Linked DNA regions of Arabidopsis thaliana. The protein of the gene in region 1 interacts with the protein of each later gene in a pairwise test. Each region holds a gene or a part of one and is shown in the gene's direction. Other genes may lie near its edges.

What was found.
Region 2: the proteins of GRF8 (region 1) and c-NAD-MDH1 interact in a two-hybrid assay, tested with the Arabidopsis thaliana proteins (one study listed by BioGRID).
Region 3: the proteins of GRF8 (region 1) and c-NAD-MDH2 interact in a two-hybrid assay, tested with the Arabidopsis thaliana proteins (one study listed by BioGRID).

The regions. Positions count from the first base shown.
Region 1 is NC_003076.8:26,147,747-26,153,560, reverse strand, and holds GRF8 (general regulatory factor 8), read left to right. Parts: upstream 1-3,084; 5' UTR 3,085-3,305; coding exon 3,306-3,791; intron 3,792-4,062; coding exon 4,063-4,185; intron 4,186-4,757; coding exon 4,758-4,931; 3' UTR 4,932-4,994; coding exon of another isoform or gene 4,995-5,015; 3' UTR 5,016-5,179; downstream 5,180-5,814. Other genes in the region: AT5G65440 (uncharacterized protein), read right to left, coding at 1-47, 121-426, 517-773, 869-1,017, 1,098-1,439, 1,511-1,546. UniProt on the Arabidopsis thaliana protein: Is associated with a DNA binding complex that binds to the G box, a well-characterized cis-acting DNA regulatory element found in plant genes. Involved in the regulation of nutrient metabolism.
Region 2 is NC_003070.9:1,188,551-1,194,364, reverse strand, and holds c-NAD-MDH1 (Lactate/malate dehydrogenase family protein), read left to right. Parts: upstream 1-2,906; 5' UTR 2,907-3,097; coding exon 3,098-3,140; intron 3,141-3,459; coding exon 3,460-3,618; intron 3,619-3,724; coding exon 3,725-3,900; intron 3,901-4,057; coding exon 4,058-4,335; intron 4,336-4,424; coding exon 4,425-4,560; intron 4,561-4,652; coding exon 4,653-4,764; intron 4,765-4,852; coding exon 4,853-4,947; 3' UTR 4,948-5,370; downstream 5,371-5,814. Other genes in the region: AT1G04420 (NAD(P)-linked oxidoreductase superfamily protein), read right to left, coding at 666-905, 1,044-1,222, 1,305-1,440, 1,530-1,647, 1,792-1,952, 2,068-2,151, 2,331-2,426, 2,507-2,731. UniProt on the Arabidopsis thaliana protein: Catalyzes a reversible NAD-dependent dehydrogenase reaction involved in central metabolism and redox homeostasis between organellar compartments.
Region 3 is NC_003076.8:17,387,633-17,393,446, forward strand, and holds c-NAD-MDH2 (Lactate/malate dehydrogenase family protein), read left to right. Parts: upstream 1-2,748; 5' UTR 2,749-2,919; coding exon 2,920-2,962; intron 2,963-3,285; coding exon 3,286-3,444; intron 3,445-3,543; coding exon 3,544-3,719; intron 3,720-3,830; coding exon 3,831-4,108; intron 4,109-4,193; coding exon 4,194-4,329; intron 4,330-4,417; coding exon 4,418-4,529; intron 4,530-4,722; coding exon 4,723-4,817; 3' UTR 4,818-5,109; downstream 5,110-5,814. Other genes in the region: ckl8 (casein kinase I-like 8), read right to left, coding at 27-90, 183-244, 351-421, 563-658, 731-879, 955-1,024, 1,118-1,158, 1,234-1,309.

The DNA.
Region 1 (5,814 bases):
ATCATCTTCAGGAGAGCTCTTTAACCTCAATGAACATGAATATGTTTCTGAAAACAGAAAGAATCAAATACTGATGACGAAAATAAGACAAAGAGTTATGTCCAAAGTACAATGAAATACCTTGTACTGCTTCATAAGTTTGTGGTCCAGTGTGAGATGTAACAATTTCCTTTTTAACGGCTTTTGAGACCTGCTTAAGGTAGCGAGCAGCAGCCTGCATGTAAGCCAAACTTTGACGCGAAAGTGAACCATTTAGAGGAACTTGGGGAGTGACATGAACTTTCCTCGCTGCTTTCCATCCAGAAGATAAAGTCGAATTCAGTTCCACAATATGGTGACGAACAACTTCGAGCTTTTCCTTGGAGACCGTCAGTGTTGCAATGTTACAGCCAGGTGGTGGATCTAATCCCATTTTAATTCTACGAACTGTACAAAATCTTACTCTTGTAAGCACTACTGCGATTTCTACAAGTGGTAAAATACAGTGGAAGGGAAAAAAGATACAAATGTGTATACCTTGGAGTTTAATTTTTCCAATAGTCTTCTTCGATTTTGGAACAGACGTCTCAGTAACCAACTCAGAAGGTCCCTTTCCCAGTAACTCTTCTTCAGAATGAAGGAAAAACCTCTGCAAACTAAATGCATTCCGCATTATGGTGCATTCATTGTTGAGGAAGTAAGAAGCCTCGCTGACACTATCCGTTGACCATGAATGAAGACATAACCGTACACAGGCTTCATAGGCAATCATCGCAGACCATGGACCTTGCTCACTGCATTCAAACCACACAAAAAATGATGGAATGAATAATCACAGAGGATTAAAAAAACAAGAAAGCAAAATCTAAGTCAGCAATGTAACTCAAACCTCGCATGAAAGGTGGGGAAACGAGGCAATGAACTTGTTGAAGTGCTTGTCCCGTTCAGAGTCCTTCCTGAAGTTCCAGCCTCAACATTTCGTCTTTCAAATTCATTATGTGAAGATATATTGTTCCGCACACCACAAGCTTCTGCTTCCTGTAAACATGATAATCAAATCAGAACATATTTAGAAACGGTAAAGGAAAACGAGAGACAAGGGGGTAAAAAGTAAGTACATATGAAACTTCAGTGCTAGTAGCTGAGTCAGATAAATCATCAGCAGCACCAAAGACCTTAGCACCATTACGTCCAAGTCCATTTTGAGCTGCGACGTGAGGCAAACCAAGATGAATTCTATAATCTTGAGGAGAGTGTTGCCTCTCGAATATCTCTTCATCTGAATCAGAAGCAATGTCCATGTCTGAACTTGAACCACCATTGTTATTACCTCTCACGGGTTTAATTGATGAAGACAATGGAGGAGCACTCCTGAATCCAAAACCATGACCAGAATTGGCATTGGGAACAGACTTAGCATCCAATTTCCGATTACCAATCGTCCACCTCGAATCAACATCCTACAAAACAAGCATTAGTTACAGCAAAATCAAACAACATCGAAAAATGCAGATAAAGTTTTTGTTCGTACCTCTCCTATGTTTCTTAAGCCAGCTTCCCTGAACATTGCTCCTTACCTTTTAACCTAAATTTCAGAAGAAAAATTATCAAAATTTTCATTCACATTCAACAATCAAATCTCAGTTCTATAATGAAATCCCTAAAACATAGCAACTGAAACGAAATCAAACGAAATCAAACGAATCGAAGGCTACAAAAGCGAAATTCTAGTGAAAACGGCAAAAAGAGAATGTAGCAAGAAAGATGAGAATTACTTTTTCTCTCTTTCACGAAATTCACATGAAAGAAAGCGAAATCGTGAACGGAAACTCACAAAATTGAAGAATCGATCTACTTCTCAATGCCAAAAAATGTTAATGCATTAGCTTACTTACACTGCCCAGAGAAGACTCTTCGGAGTTTTTTCGTTTCTTTTTTTCCAGTGAAAGAGTCAACACAAGTGTGAAACCAGAAATTTTTCCAGTAGAACAAACTGGTTAAATTTCTTCAAATTGACTACAGGTGGAAAATTCGACCAGTGACAGTCATTGGACTCAAATTTCACAATGAAGAAGAAGAAAAATGGAAGATCGATTGAGGAAGCTCTTATATTTCTTTCTCTTTTTTTATTTAATCTTCCTTTTTTTTTATGTAAGTTTAGTAAAAATTGCGCCACCATAGGAAAAAAATATATACGGTGAGAGCGGAGAAGAAGAGCGGCGTTGGATGGAGACGTCAATTAACGGTGACGGCGACTTTTATTACGCTTAGCGTAAAACTGACGTGGCAAGTGAAGATACGCCCTTTCTTTCTCCCATAACGGCAACGTTATGCGCGCGTGACGGTGCGTCTATCAGAGAATCAATTTGCATTACATTAGTTTTGGAGAATTTAGGTTTTGTTATAAATTAGTAAGAACTACGAGTGTATACAGATTTTTGTTAACCCAAATAATCTAAACAACTTTCCAGTATTAAAAACATGAGTAATCGATTTCTTCAGATTTTTCGATCTAATGATTTGGTCGCATTTGATTAACCAACTCTTTATTATTTTGTTTTTCATGCCAAACAAATGTCCTGCCGGATCTCAATTATCTCATTTGACTAATCAAATTAATATAGCATAATTTTCATCAATTCTCATTTATTGAAATTTACAATGAATCAACAAATAAAAACCCACAAAAAACGAATTCAATTAATTTGATCCGGTCTTTTAAATTTAAAGTATTGGAAAATGAAAATAATTAATTTTCTTTAATCAACAATATAAGAAATTAAAGAATATGAGTATTGACCAAAAGAAAAATTAATATCAACGAAAGAAAGAATTTGGACAACTTTTTCTTGTCTTCATATGCCTTTTCTCCGACCACATTAGTTGTGTCCAGGTCACGCCGAAAACGCATATGCTTAGCCAGCAAGGTAATAGCTTTAACAGGCTTCAAAAAGCCCATCTAAAGCCTAATCAAAAGCCCGTATTCTAACATTTGACCTTGAACAGTGTCAACTAGTTGGGGAAGCTGACGCACTAAATTATTATCGTCCATTCACTCGCTCTTATCAAAAAAACCGAAACCTAGCCACGCGCCTCGTACACTCAACGTGGGTTTCACGCTGTTAATCCTTATTTCAACTAACGACGTCGTTTATCAGAGTGTGTTAATCACGCGCGAGTGAAGAGAATTTCCTTTTACAGCTCATTATGACTCGGCTTTGAAGCTTTTTATTCTTCTTCTCAATTTCTTTTTTTCTTCCAGAAATTTCCTCCGATTTCAAAATTTTCCGGTGAAATCGAAAAAAAAAGCGAGATCTTCTTCTCTAATGGCGACGACCTTAAGCAGAGATCAATATGTCTACATGGCGAAGCTCGCCGAGCAAGCCGAGCGTTACGAAGAGATGGTTCAATTCATGGAACAGCTCGTAAGTGGAGCTACACCGGCCGGTGAGCTGACCGTAGAAGAGAGGAATCTTCTCTCGGTCGCGTATAAGAACGTGATTGGATCTCTTCGTGCGGCATGGAGAATCGTGTCTTCGATTGAGCAAAAGGAAGAGAGCAGGAAGAACGAAGAACACGTGTCGCTTGTTAAGGATTACAGATCTAAAGTTGAGACTGAGCTTTCTTCGATCTGTTCTGGGATTCTCAGGTTACTTGATTCGCATCTAATTCCTTCAGCTACTGCCAGTGAGTCTAAGGTTTTTTACCTGAAGATGAAAGGAGATTATCATCGTTATTTGGCTGAGTTTAAATCTGGTGATGAGAGGAAAACTGCTGCTGAAGATACTATGATCGCTTACAAAGCTGCTCAGGTATATCTTTGATTCCCTAAATCCTTGAATCGATCCTGTTGTGGAGCTAAAACCCTATTTCTGAGATTACTTCAATTAGCTAATCTGTAATCAGTTGTCTCATAATAAGTAAATTGGTCTCGAATCTAGCTATTGTATTGATCCTATCGTTAGAAGTAGTCAACTTTTACTATTTGGGCTTAAGATCAATTGCTTCCCTAATATGTCTTAGTAATATATAATTGTTCTGAAAATATGTATTTTTGCTCATTCGTGGGTTTTTGTATTGAAGGACGTTGCAGTTGCTGATCTAGCACCTACACATCCGATCAGGCTTGGTTTGGCTCTTAACTTCTCAGTGTTTTACTACGAGATTCTCAACTCTTCAGAGAAAGCTTGTAGCATGGCGAAACAGGTACTCTTTCTTCATCCACTATACTGCATGTTTGTTTCAAGTAGAGTTTCTCTGTCTGATCATCATTGTCTTAAGTTTGGTTAGGGAGAGTGTAATTTGCATTTTGAGTTACTAACTTGACCACTTGTTTTACTATTCCTATTGGCCCCATCTTGTATTCATTGTGTTGGGTTGATTTGAAGGAATTTTGAAACCTTTACCAGAAATAGACAAGTTGTTTATAAAAAGTAACTCTTTCTTCTTTCTGAACGGACCCACTTCTTTTTAATAAACAGAGATTCTAAAGAAAAAGACATTCTGCAAAGTCCTCTTTTGATATAACTTTTTTGACTAACGCTTCACATTAACCAAATTATTCCTTTTGTCAGTAGAATCTCTTAAAATGACAAGACTTTAGAACCACAATATCTCATACATTATGCATACGAGATTGTGTAGAATCTGATCGGGGTTTTGGTGCATATTGAATCCGGAACATCTCATGCATCACATATACAAGATTCTATAAGACTATTAAAGCTCATCTTATCATCGCATTTCTAACTTGTTCTTGTTGGATTCATCACCTCTAGGCTTTTGAAGAAGCCATTGCTGAGCTGGACACATTGGGAGAGGAGTCATACAAGGACAGTACTCTCATCATGCAGTTGCTAAGGGACAATCTAACCCTTTGGACCTCCGATATGCAGGTTTGCCCAATTCTATACTTTCATATTCAATTGCATCATCAGAAACTCGCATATTGATAGTCTTATAAGATTATTCGGATAATAACACCCCAAAACTCAATGATCGACTGCTTTATTCAGGAGCAGATGGATGAGGCCTGAAGGTCTAATGGAAGAAAAGACGGTTATGTAATGTACCTGCAACCGTAACCGAAAATCTGAGTTCAACCTCCTTTGCTGTAAAACTTGTCGAAAAGAAAAGTTTGTTTTTTTATGACAGATTATGTGCACAGCTTTGGTGTTATCTGCTGCTCTGTATCAACTCTGTTTTTGTTTGGTAATTTATCCTCATCTTTGCTTCTTTTCTTCTCAAAATTTTATATTTCAAACAAAGTAACAATATCTTAGCTTGGTTTGTGAGTTCCTCGAGACTGATGAAACGCTTAGTGTAGCGTTTTAGATGATTTCGCTTATGAGTGGTCAAGTTAACGGTTTGGTTTCAGTTCAGTTGTTTTCAAGAATTTGCTTTCTAGTAGTAGTATTATGTATAATTGAAACTCGTATTAAAAATCGGAGAAGTAGCTGAAACAAAAAAAAAAAAAAAAAAAAATCGGAGTTTAGACAACCTAAATCATCAAGAGTGATCATTATAGAAGACTCATAAATCAATGGAAGACAAGTAAATGCGTGATGACGATTCAAATTTTCATGAGATTACAGAGATATAATACAACTGTTAAATGAAAAAAACAAATAATATTTTACCTGAGAGTCTTGAGCGTAATTACGATTTCCTATATTGATTTGACTTGAGAGTTGAGAGTAGGAAAATATGAACGTTGTGAAACGGTAACATTTTTTATGAACGTTGTGAAACGGTAACATTTTTCGACCGTTTGATGTAATATTTTTTTTGTAAGAAATTCAGATTATGAGTCTATAAGTACTCCTTTCTTCGTTC
Region 2 (5,814 bases), on another chromosome or scaffold:
TAATTTGTAAATAGTAATACGTAAACCCGCACTACGTGCGGGTACTCATCTAGTTAAAATAAAAACGTGTATAAAAGTAACTCTCACCTTATGATTTGCTGCGTTTTGCCGCCGGATCTGATGAAGAAAGAGAGAGGGACAAGAAGAGACGAGAGTTTTTAAAGTTTCCATTTACATCTTTTGGATTATGTTTTTAACGATATCGGAGGCTGTGTGTATTACTATATATAGAGAAGCTTTCTTTACCGTTGAGAAAAAGTAGTAACGGATAGTTTCTGAATTTTGAAGTAAGTTACCGTTTCTAAGTTACCGTTCCCGTTCTGACATCTCAACGGTTAAATCACAGTTACCTTGTCCGCAACACGTGTTACAATTAAAAAAGTTTTATTCTTGCTGGGCTGTCGAGACCGGCCCAAACCCATCAATTTGTTTTTTAATTTTTACATGTCCGATATGAGGCTTAAAGGATAAACTGGATTTGATTTAAGGTCCATTATATAGATCAATAAAAGCGTTCAAACGTTATGCGCAACTGTGGTACGTCATTACATGGGAGTTCTGTATATCCGTCATATCAAAACAACTGTAAGAAAGCAAATCAAGCTATATATAACTTATGGACTTTCACCGTGAGCTCACAAACTCATGAGAAACCTTCTTTTCTTTCAAACGAAAGAAGGGTCTTTGAACCTCTTGAAAACGGCGTCAATGTCTGCCATAACTTCCTGCGAAAACGGCCGCTCCGTCATCAGAAAAGCATCAATGTCTTCTTTAAGTTGTTTTACCGATGTGGCCCCGATGATCGTGCTCGTCACAAAGGGCCTGTCACGTACAAACCCGAGTGCTAACTCAACCGGAGTTAAACCGTACTTCTTCGCCACCTCAACGTATTGTATGGTTGCTTCCTGAAATCAGAACAAAGATAAAATTGACCTCAAAACACTTTTACGAATATGGCTTTACAACTAGATTCGAGCTAATACTGTTTCTTAAATTGTTTTACGACATAAGAAGAAGTAAGCATAGTTGGATCAAGAAGAAACCTTGGCTAGTGATCCCTTGTAACGTTCCATATATCCTGGGAAAAGATTCAGCCTTGCATTTTTTGTAGCTTCTTGGTCTGTAGCCAAGTATTTCCCAGACAACGAGCCGCCTCCAAGAGGGGAATAAGCAAGCAAGCCAACATTGCAATTTTTTGGGTGGCATACTTCTACCAGATCAACTGTGGTTTTAACCCAAAACAAAAGAGTTTAGAACATGCTCCTCCGACACACTTGCTCTCAAGGTATTCTAGAAAGATTTACCTTCATACCGACATCTAACTAGCAAGCTGTAACCATTCTGGATGCTCACAATCTTTGGTAGTCCTTCGAGTTTTGCTGTGTTAACAAACTCCGTCACTCCGTATGAAGTTTCATTCGAGACACCGATATAGCGAACCTGTTGCAGAATTCGAGGAACACTTCAAAACTCTGTGTTTGAGGTTATATAACTCAATATAACATCTGATTTTTAAGGAGTAGCACTACCTTTCCTTCAACTATGAGATCCTGAAAGGCTCTTAGTTGCTCAGCGAATGGCACACTAGGTCTCCATTTCGACGTTTCATAGTAAAAATCACCGAAGAGTGGTACGTATCGATCTGGCCTGGACTGAAAAAAAGATCAGTGTCATGATTTTCTGACATTTGATGATGAAAAACGAAATATTTTGCGCATGAAATAGAAAGACACTTGCTCAAACAATGTAGAATATGAGTTAAGACATAAAGCAAAAATAAGGCGATGTTACCAGTGTATTTGAAGCAAGTCAATGTAATCAGTTCCAAGGCGCTTAAGACTTTTCTCAACACTTTCTTTGATATTAGCAGCATCTACACGCAGAATCTCACCACTGTCCCTTATGTAAGCTGACCTTTCTGAGTACCCACATACTTTAGTTGCCAAAACTATCTGTATACAGAAACAATGAACATCAATATCAATTTTTATAACTTCGATTAGGTTTTGCTGATATCATATACATTCGTGACCAATATGCATCCAAAGTATGATAAATGGTTGATACCTTGTCACGTTGCTGAGACTTCAACCAGCTACTGATATAAAGATCCGTTTTACCTTGCGTCTCCTTCTTCATCGGTATGGGATACTGGAAATAAACAATGATACTTGAAAATTTACCACAGACTAAGCAGATTCCAGAAAGCTAAACACAACAGTGCTAAATTCACCAGAATTATATATAAAGTATAAAACATTCACATAAACACTTGCAATCAAATTCACCAGGCAAGAAGAGAAAGATGAACAATGAAGATAAAAACTCACAGCTTCAGCAGTGTCAATGCAATTGATGCCCTCTTCAATTGCATAACTCAGCATCTCATGAGATTCTTTCTCAGTATTTTGCTCCCCAAATGTCATCTGAAATTCCAAATTTCATCAAAACTTCAAAATTGAACAATGGACTACAATTGCAGGAGATAAAGAGAGATTGTTCTTACAGTGCCCATAGTAACTTCGCTGATGTTGAGATCGGAATCTCCTAATTTCCTATACTCCATAGCATTCTTCGTCGACGCTTTCGCCGAAACTCTCAATATTCTCCTCCGAGCATTCGGCGATAGAGTAACACGGCGGCGCGTGAATGCCAAACGAAAGACTCCTCGAATGTTACTGCTGCTGACCACCGGAGTGACCGTTGAGTAGGTGACGTAAGATGACGCCATACCGGAGGTTGTCGTGGACGTGGTTCTTCTCGCCTTATCGCCACCATTATCTACTGTTTTGATTCACGTATTTGAATACTCTGGGCTAAACGATTTGGGCCTAATGTAAGAGGCCCATTAGAGTCAAAAATATATATTGAATAATATCTTGTTTTCCTAATATGATAGGTCTAATCTCAGATTTCGATTTATTTCTTCGAGATAATATGATTATATTAGATGACGTGGCGGTACATCCTTCGATATCTTCGATAAATACGCAAGAGTGAGCTTCACGGTCAGACAAAAGCTGACTCTACGCTCTCTCAAAAGTCGAATATCCCAAATTCGATCCGTTTTCCGGCGATAATCTCCGATCTAGATCCGATGGCGAAAGAACCAGTTCGTGTGCTCGTTACTGGAGCTGCAGGTATAACTTTCATCTATATCCGATTAGATCGTGTAACTTCTAGATCTCTGGCTAGTGAATCGCTTGCTGAATCTAGTCAGATCTCTGCATAGTATCTGGTTGTTCCATAGATCAATGAAATATAGGTCAACTCTTGTTCCGTTGGATTCAACGCTGACCAACGATTGATTGAGTTGGTCGCATATCTAATTTTAGTAAAAGTTATTTCATGGATCGAACTCTGATTTAGAAACCGTTGTTTATATAGTTGGATAGAGTTTAAGTTGTGACTTTAGATCTCCTCAGCTACTGAAAGTAACTATTGATTGTGATTATGCAGGACAAATCGGATATGCTCTTGTACCTATGATTGCAAGGGGTATCATGCTTGGTGCTGACCAACCTGTTATCCTCCACATGTTGGATATTCCTCCAGCTGCTGAAGCTTTGAACGGTGTTAAGATGGAGTTGATCGATGCTGCTTTCCCTCTTCTTAAAGGTAGTTAAGGGTTTTGTTTTGCTGTGGATATTTGCATTCCGTGTCATAAGTTGTTTTGTATAAGTGGGAAAGGAGAAGATGAATATTTGATGTGTATTATTATCAGGTGTTGTTGCTACAACTGATGCCGTTGAGGGATGTACTGGAGTCAATGTTGCTGTTATGGTTGGTGGTTTCCCGAGGAAAGAAGGTATGGAGAGGAAGGATGTGATGTCCAAGAATGTTTCCATCTACAAGTCTCAGGCTGCTGCCTTGGAGAAGCATGCCGCTCCTAACTGCAAGGTGATACGATCTGTTTGCTTTTTAAGTTAAATGAAGCCACTGCATCCAATCTTCTCTGTTCATTGGAGTGTAACAGATGCTTTGTGTTCTCTATTGGGTTCTAGTTTACGACTCTCTTGCTCACACATTCGCTCTCGTTTTGTCTTTTTTTTTTCAGGTTCTTGTTGTGGCCAACCCGGCAAACACCAACGCATTGATCCTCAAGGAATTTGCACCATCAATCCCTGAAAAGAACATCTCTTGTTTGACAAGGCTTGACCACAACAGGGCTTTGGGACAGATCTCTGAGAGGTTGAGCGTGCCAGTGTCTGATGTTAAGAACGTGATCATCTGGGGAAACCACTCATCCTCACAGTACCCAGATGTCAACCATGCTAAAGTGCAGACCTCGTCTGGAGAGAAGCCTGTCCGTGAGCTCGTCAAGGACGATGCATGGTATGTATAACATGCCATAGAACTTAAGACCCTTTCTCTTCTCTGGAAGCAAAATCTAGTTTCACTTAAATATATTGCTCATTCTGTAGGTTGGACGGAGAATTTATCTCTACAGTTCAACAACGTGGAGCTGCAATCATCAAGGCGAGGAAGTTGTCTAGTGCGCTCTCTGCTGCTAGCTCTGCTTGTGACCACATCCGTGACTGGGTCCTTGGAACTCCAGAGGTTCATAATAAAACTCTTCCCCGTTATTTGCAGTGCTGTTTTTTTGTAACAGTTAATCTAATATGAGTTCTTTCTTTGATTCAAATTGTCAGGGTACGTTCGTTTCCATGGGAGTATACTCCGATGGCTCTTACAGCGTTCCATCAGGACTTATCTACTCCTTCCCTGTAACTTGTCGCAATGGAGACTGGAGTATTGTCCAAGGTAAATATGACGCACTTACAAACTCAAATGCTCATCAATTATGAAATCCTAGATTCTGCAGACCCTAATGTGTATTTTGTTTGGTTAGGCCTTCCGATTGATGAAGTATCAAGGAAGAAGATGGATTTGACTGCAGAGGAGCTCAAGGAAGAGAAGGACTTGGCGTACTCATGCCTCTCTTAAACCCTTCTGGAGCAAAATTTTCATCTATAAGGTGTGAGATCAGTTAAAGCCTTTCAGGGCTTTGTCCGAATAAGAAGTGTGTTTGAAAGATCTCCAAACACTGTTTTATAACCTCTTTGGTCTCTTTGATGAGTATTGTCCCTGGTCTGTTTCTAAACCAGGATATCGTTTTTTTCAATGTGTCTGATTTGGTTTACCCATGAAAAGAAGAAAATTGGCAGTTGCATGGTTATCTTTTGCGATTATTTTTTTCTGCTTTAGCAATTAGCCCAAAATTGATGAGCTCTTCGATAATGGGTTTGTGCAATTGTGATTTGTGAGGAATGGTGTTATTGTGTTGCAATTGCAAAAAGAAATGCTACTCTTGCAGATTCATACCAAAACCAAATCACTAGATTAAACTGAAATTCTAATGTGGATTATTTTAATTTTACTTCTATTTTTCTTCACCCAAATATTTTATAACCAAACACCAAGTTGACACCAAAATATACATCCAAAAAACTTAGATTGCTTCTATTTTACGACTATCCGAAATCGAATCATAAACCGTAGGCAATGGTCCATTAATAAGGGGTATACGAGGATTCAAAGTTTGAGAGAACTTTTTTATCTTTACCTTTTTCCTTTTGTAAAGTAAAAGCAGTGGATTTTGATTATAGATTCTACTTGGTAATGACTAATGAGAATCAAGTTCTCACCTTTAAGCCATATAGACTTTAGATATTTAATGGATTCTACAAAAGTGGGCATGACCAGAATCGAGTTCATGAACCACCGTCCTCGGCCCCAACGTTAAAAAACTTTTTTCTCTAGCATAAGAAGATAAGAGTATCTTCACTGCGCTTTAGGCCCACTCAACATTCA
Region 3 (5,814 bases), 8.8 Mb from region 1:
TGGGTGAAGTAAAGATGTATCTATACCTTCCTCGAAGAAAATACATAAGCACGTAGCCAAGAGATTCCAGATCGTCCCTCCTACTTTGCTCTGTTTAAAGGATCTCAATTTAGTTTGATAAACGTACAAATAGTCAAGTTTTTAATGTGAAAATGAAAGAAGAAAAAGCAAACAATACTCACCAATTCCAAGATGAGTGTTAACACTTGCATATCGAGCTGTTCCAGTAAGATTCTTGTTTTCCCTAATAAGTAACTCTCGATTAGTAAATATATTACCAATATTTCACTAACAATTCGAAAATTTTAAATTGAGCAAAACTTTTTAACAAGAAAAAGAAAAATGTGTACCTGTAGGGAATGTGTCTATGAGTTTGGAGATCTCTATACTTTTTTGCAAGTCCGTAGTCAATGATGTACACCTAGACAAGAACAAAGATGACATATCAGAGAAAAGATGCAAACATATAGAAGGATTCACAAGGTAGTAGCAAAAGAAATTCCAAAACCAAACAAGTATATTATCATTCCACACAATAAAGTTGCATACCATAACTACTCACCTGGTTCGCTTTGCGTCCAAGACCCATCAAAAAGTTATCAGGCTTTATGTCACGATGAAGAAATCCCCGGACATGCATATACTCAACTCTATTGATCTGAAGAAATCAAATCATGAGCAACACAATAACTCAAACATATCAGAGAAAAGGTAGATAATATATCCGTACCATTTGATCTGCGAGCATTAGAACCGTCTTTAGATTGAACCTCCGACTACAATAATTAAATAAATCCTCCATACTCGGACCCAAAAGGTCAATCACCATACAGTTGTATTCACCCTCAACCCCATACCATTTTAGATGTGGAATACCAGCTTCAAGAACACAAATGTAAAAGTTAATAAAAGAACGATAACTGAAGGTTTAAACCGACAAAAGGCAAAACTTACTTCCTCCTTGAAGAAGCATATAAAGCTTTGATTCATAATGAAGTTGAGGATGTCTAGCTCTCGCAGGTTCCTACAAAGAAAAAAACCAAAGTTTTAGTAATCAAGAATGAGTTTTTACACATTACTGAATTGAAAAGGGTAATAGTCAAATGTTGAGACTTACAAGCTTCACAGCAACTTCTTCTCCAGTTTGTACATTAACCCCTGAAAACAAAAGAGTTATTACAAAAGCAAAACTTGGAATTACCAAAAGACAGAAGAAACTTCAAATCACATTACCTAGAAAAAGTTCACCAAATGATCCACTTCCAAGTTTACGTCCAAGCTTATACTTACCACCAACCACACGATCCATCGTTACCAAATCAAAAAGCTTCCTCCTTTCTTCGATCTCTTAAAACAACTAATCCCCAACAAAACCAAAAGTTGACCCAGATCTCAATTCAATGTTCCCTACCTCTCTAAAAGCCTGATCGAAATTCAAAGATCCCCAATTCAAATTCTAGTAAGAACCCTTCAAATATCTGAATCAAATCAAAATTGTAATCGATTCACCAAGTAATCTTATGCTTCTGCTTTAACACAAACTAAAAATCACCCATTGACCAACAACATCTTCATAGAAAGTCTGACACTTTTTTTCAGACAAAAGCTTTAGATCAGATTGAAGAAACACAAAATGAAACGGAAGAGACAAAACCAAAACAAAAAAAAAAGGTGAAAAGAACAAAGAGAGACGAAATCAGACCCAAAAAAAAAAAAAATGGGTCGTTGGATTCGATTATCGTTTGATCTATAAAGACTGCTACGAGACAGCTTGATTCACTATTTTTTTCTCTTTTTTTTTTGCTGAATTTTTTTTTTCTTAAGGAAGATAATGGATTAGAGACGAAACCAAACGTTAAAAGAAAAATGAAAAAGAAATCTGACGAGACGGCCTTGAAGAAGAGATTTTGAGATTTTCTTTCCTTATCCCTAATTTTTTACAACTTTTTATTTTTTTGCTTAACTAATTTGTTTTCTTTTTCTCCAAATTTGATTTATTCTTCATTAACTGTAAACAGTAACGTCACTATATGAAAAAGATGATAATTAATGACATAAAATTAGTTGGATTTTAATATTTTCTAGCATCTTTATTTTCTTCCGCTCAAGCAATATTGATTATTTTTTGGTAGGCCTCAAGCAATATTGATATTTGATTTGAAACTATTACATAAAAAATATCATAAAAAAACATAATATTCTACCAAAAAATGAGTATTTGATAATATATTTTTAAAAGTAAACAAAACAAAATTTGTCTCGAAACTATCAGATACACCATAAAAAAAAAATTGGTACTATTTATAAAATACTATATAATCACTTGATTGTTAAATTTGCTTTTTAATTTTTATTGGTAATAAGAAAAATTATTACTAACTCGATAAACCCTGATATAAAATATTTTATTATGTAGAATAAAGTAATATAATAGAATCGAATTTCGATTGATATTATATTATCTTCTTTTTTTGTTTAGACCATTTCTTCAATAACAGTGTCAAACATATAATGACATGCATTTTCTACAAAGACAGCTAGAACTTTAGTTTTATATATTCAGACACCACTTACAAAAGAAGAAAATATTAATTAAACATGAAAAAAGTAAACATTGAACATCCCCATTTAATTAGGGCTTTACCAAATTAGTCGGTACGATAAACTCGTCTAAACATTAAATGGGCTTAATTAGTTGGGCTTATTTTAACACTAAATTGGCCCATTATAACTTCCCAAAATGATATTGGTTCGAGATGATTCGATAACGTGGGCATCAATCCATGGATCATCTCAGCTTTCACCATCACCAATAAATAAACACACAGGTCTGCTTTCATACCTTCACGCTCTCTCACTGATCATTCACAATCTCTCTCTTTTTTTCACCGGCGATAATTTTCCGATCTCGATTATAAGATGGCGAAGGAACCAGTTCGTGTTCTTGTTACCGGAGCTGCAGGTAAAATTCTTATTTCTCCGATCTTGTTTCTTCCATCTCTCGTTATTGATTCGTATCGTCAGATCTTTATGTAACACCAATTTTTCATAATCCAAAAATGTAAACGATCATTGAATCATATTTTCGATTCCTATAGTGAGATCTGAAGAGAGAAATTGATTGGATCATTTGGTGAATCCTGTTACATTTTGAGATGTAATTGTCATTTTGGATCAGTTATTTGATTTTATCATGATTTGTTCTGATTTTGTAAGCTTTATTTGGCGATTGATTTGTAATTTTGTGTGTAGATCATGTTTAAGTGTGTTTCTGTTATTGTGCAGGACAAATCGGATATGCTCTTGTTCCTATGATTGCAAGGGGGATAATGCTTGGTGCTGATCAGCCTGTGATCCTCCACATGCTTGACATCCCTTTTGCAGCAGAAGCTTTGAACGGTGTGAAGATGGAATTGGTCGATGCTGCTTTCCCTCTTCTAAAGGGTAAGTTTTTATTCTAGTATATATTTTTACTGTGCTCGTATTGGAATATGGTATGTTGCTTGAGGCTGAAATGTGATGTTGGTGTTTTTTCTGTGGAAGGTGTGGTGGCTACAACTGATGCTGTTGAAGCGTGTACCGGTGTTAATGTTGCTGTCATGGTTGGTGGTTTCCCGAGGAAGGAAGGAATGGAGAGGAAGGATGTTATGTCCAAGAACGTTTCCATTTACAAGTCTCAAGCTTCTGCCTTGGAGAAGCATGCTGCACCAAACTGCAAGGTGATAAGTCTTTTCGAATCGTTCTTATGATCATTATGCAGAAATTAAGCAAGTTAATCTCTTATTTTGTTGTATGAGATATTTCATATTTGCTATCTCTTCGTTTTGTAGGTTCTGGTTGTTGCAAACCCTGCAAACACCAATGCATTGATCCTGAAGGAATTTGCACCATCGATCCCAGAGAAGAACATTACTTGCTTGACCAGGCTTGACCACAACAGGGCATTGGGACAAGTGTCTGAGAGGTTAAGCGTACCAGTGTCTGATGTGAAGAACGTGATTATCTGGGGAAACCACTCATCAACCCAATACCCAGATGTCAACCACGCTACCGTTAAGACTTCCGTTGGAGAGAAGCCAGTGCGTGAGCTAGTCAAGAATGACGAGTGGTAAAAATCTCTAAAACACCCTTTTAATATCTCAATCTAGTTTCGTGAATGTGATGCTCATGTATGTTAGCAACTAATGTTGTAGGTTGAATGGAGAGTTCATCTCTACCGTTCAACAACGTGGTGCTGCCATTATCAAGGCCAGGAAGCTGTCTAGTGCACTTTCTGCAGCTAGCTCAGCTTGTGACCATATCCGTGATTGGGTTGTTGGAACACCTGAGGTTCGTCATTACTACTGTTTTATCTCGAATCAATTGGTTGTTTTGTGTACTAAGTAAAACTAATATGTTCTTCGACTTGATTTCTCAGGGCACATTTGTTTCAATGGGAGTATACTCAGATGGATCCTACAATGTTCCAGCTGGACTTATCTACTCCTTCCCCGTAACCTGCCGTAATGGAGAGTGGACCATTGTTCAAGGTAAATATATTTCTCGTAACCAAAAGTTATACACAATGTTCTTAAGAGAATCCTAGCCTAAAGCTGACCCGTGTAACGGAACCGTAAACTGGATTGTCTACTTCTAATCCTAAGTGTGCAAGGCTGGTTCTCGCTGCGATGATTAGCTCATAGAACTAGATATTGGTCTAATATGTGTTGTTGTTATTCACAGGTTTACCGATTGATGACGCATCGAGGAAGAAGATGGATTTGACAGCAGAGGAGTTGAAGGAAGAGAAGGACCTCGCTTACTCATGCCTCTCTTAAACCGGTCTTTTCTCAGCTGGTTTAATCAGTGAAAGCTTTGTTTCGAATAAAGAAGTTTTGTTATAAAATGAACTTTTAATAACCTCATGAGCTTGAGGTTTAGTTTTCCTAATGTGCCCATGATGTGTCGGTACTGATTTGCTGACCAGATATAAACAATCATTTTGATAATTGACCTCTTTTGGTTTCCTTTCGTAACGGGAGAGTGGAGAGTGGAGAGACAACAACAACTCGAATTTTTTGGTAGACTTTTTCAGATATGGGCCAAAGCTTTGTTGGGTATTCTTTTGGCCCATATGAAAAAAATACAAAAGATTTCGCAATTGTGAAATAAACAGCTTAAGAATAGTATTATAGAATAAAATCTCGCAATAATATACTCCATGGTTTTTATGCGATTTAGAACAATGGGATAATACTAAATTAATAATTTGAATTAATTTTACGTAATAATTTTACGTAACATTTATTTTTTAATTTACTATTATTATTTAATTATGCTATTTTTACTATTTACCAGTTCATCCAAATATAAAACCTTATTAGCCTATCAAAAAAAGAAAACGTAAAACCCTATTTCATAGGTTTTTATCTAAAACTAAAACCCTATTCTATGAGTTTTTTCTCCAAGACTTGCAGTCACTTTGATTTATCTTGTAATTTTATTTTTAAATATAATTTTTTTTCTATAAAAGAGCAAATATAGCTGCAGAAGATAATGATTTGTTGGGTATTGTTGATAACTCTTTTTTTTTCTTCTAATTCCTGATGAATTATCGACGGCTTAATTCATGTCCTCTTTTTTTTCCTGGACATTGAATGTTAGTGACAAGTCTATATAGGACCTAAATACATTCCAACCTTAACATTTATTATTGGCAATAAATATTGCTATACATATTTTTCTCATGTTATCTACTAATCTGTTTGTTGTTTTACTTTTGATATCAGCTTCTAATAACAATAACATTTTTTTTTTTTTATAAAATCTGTTTGA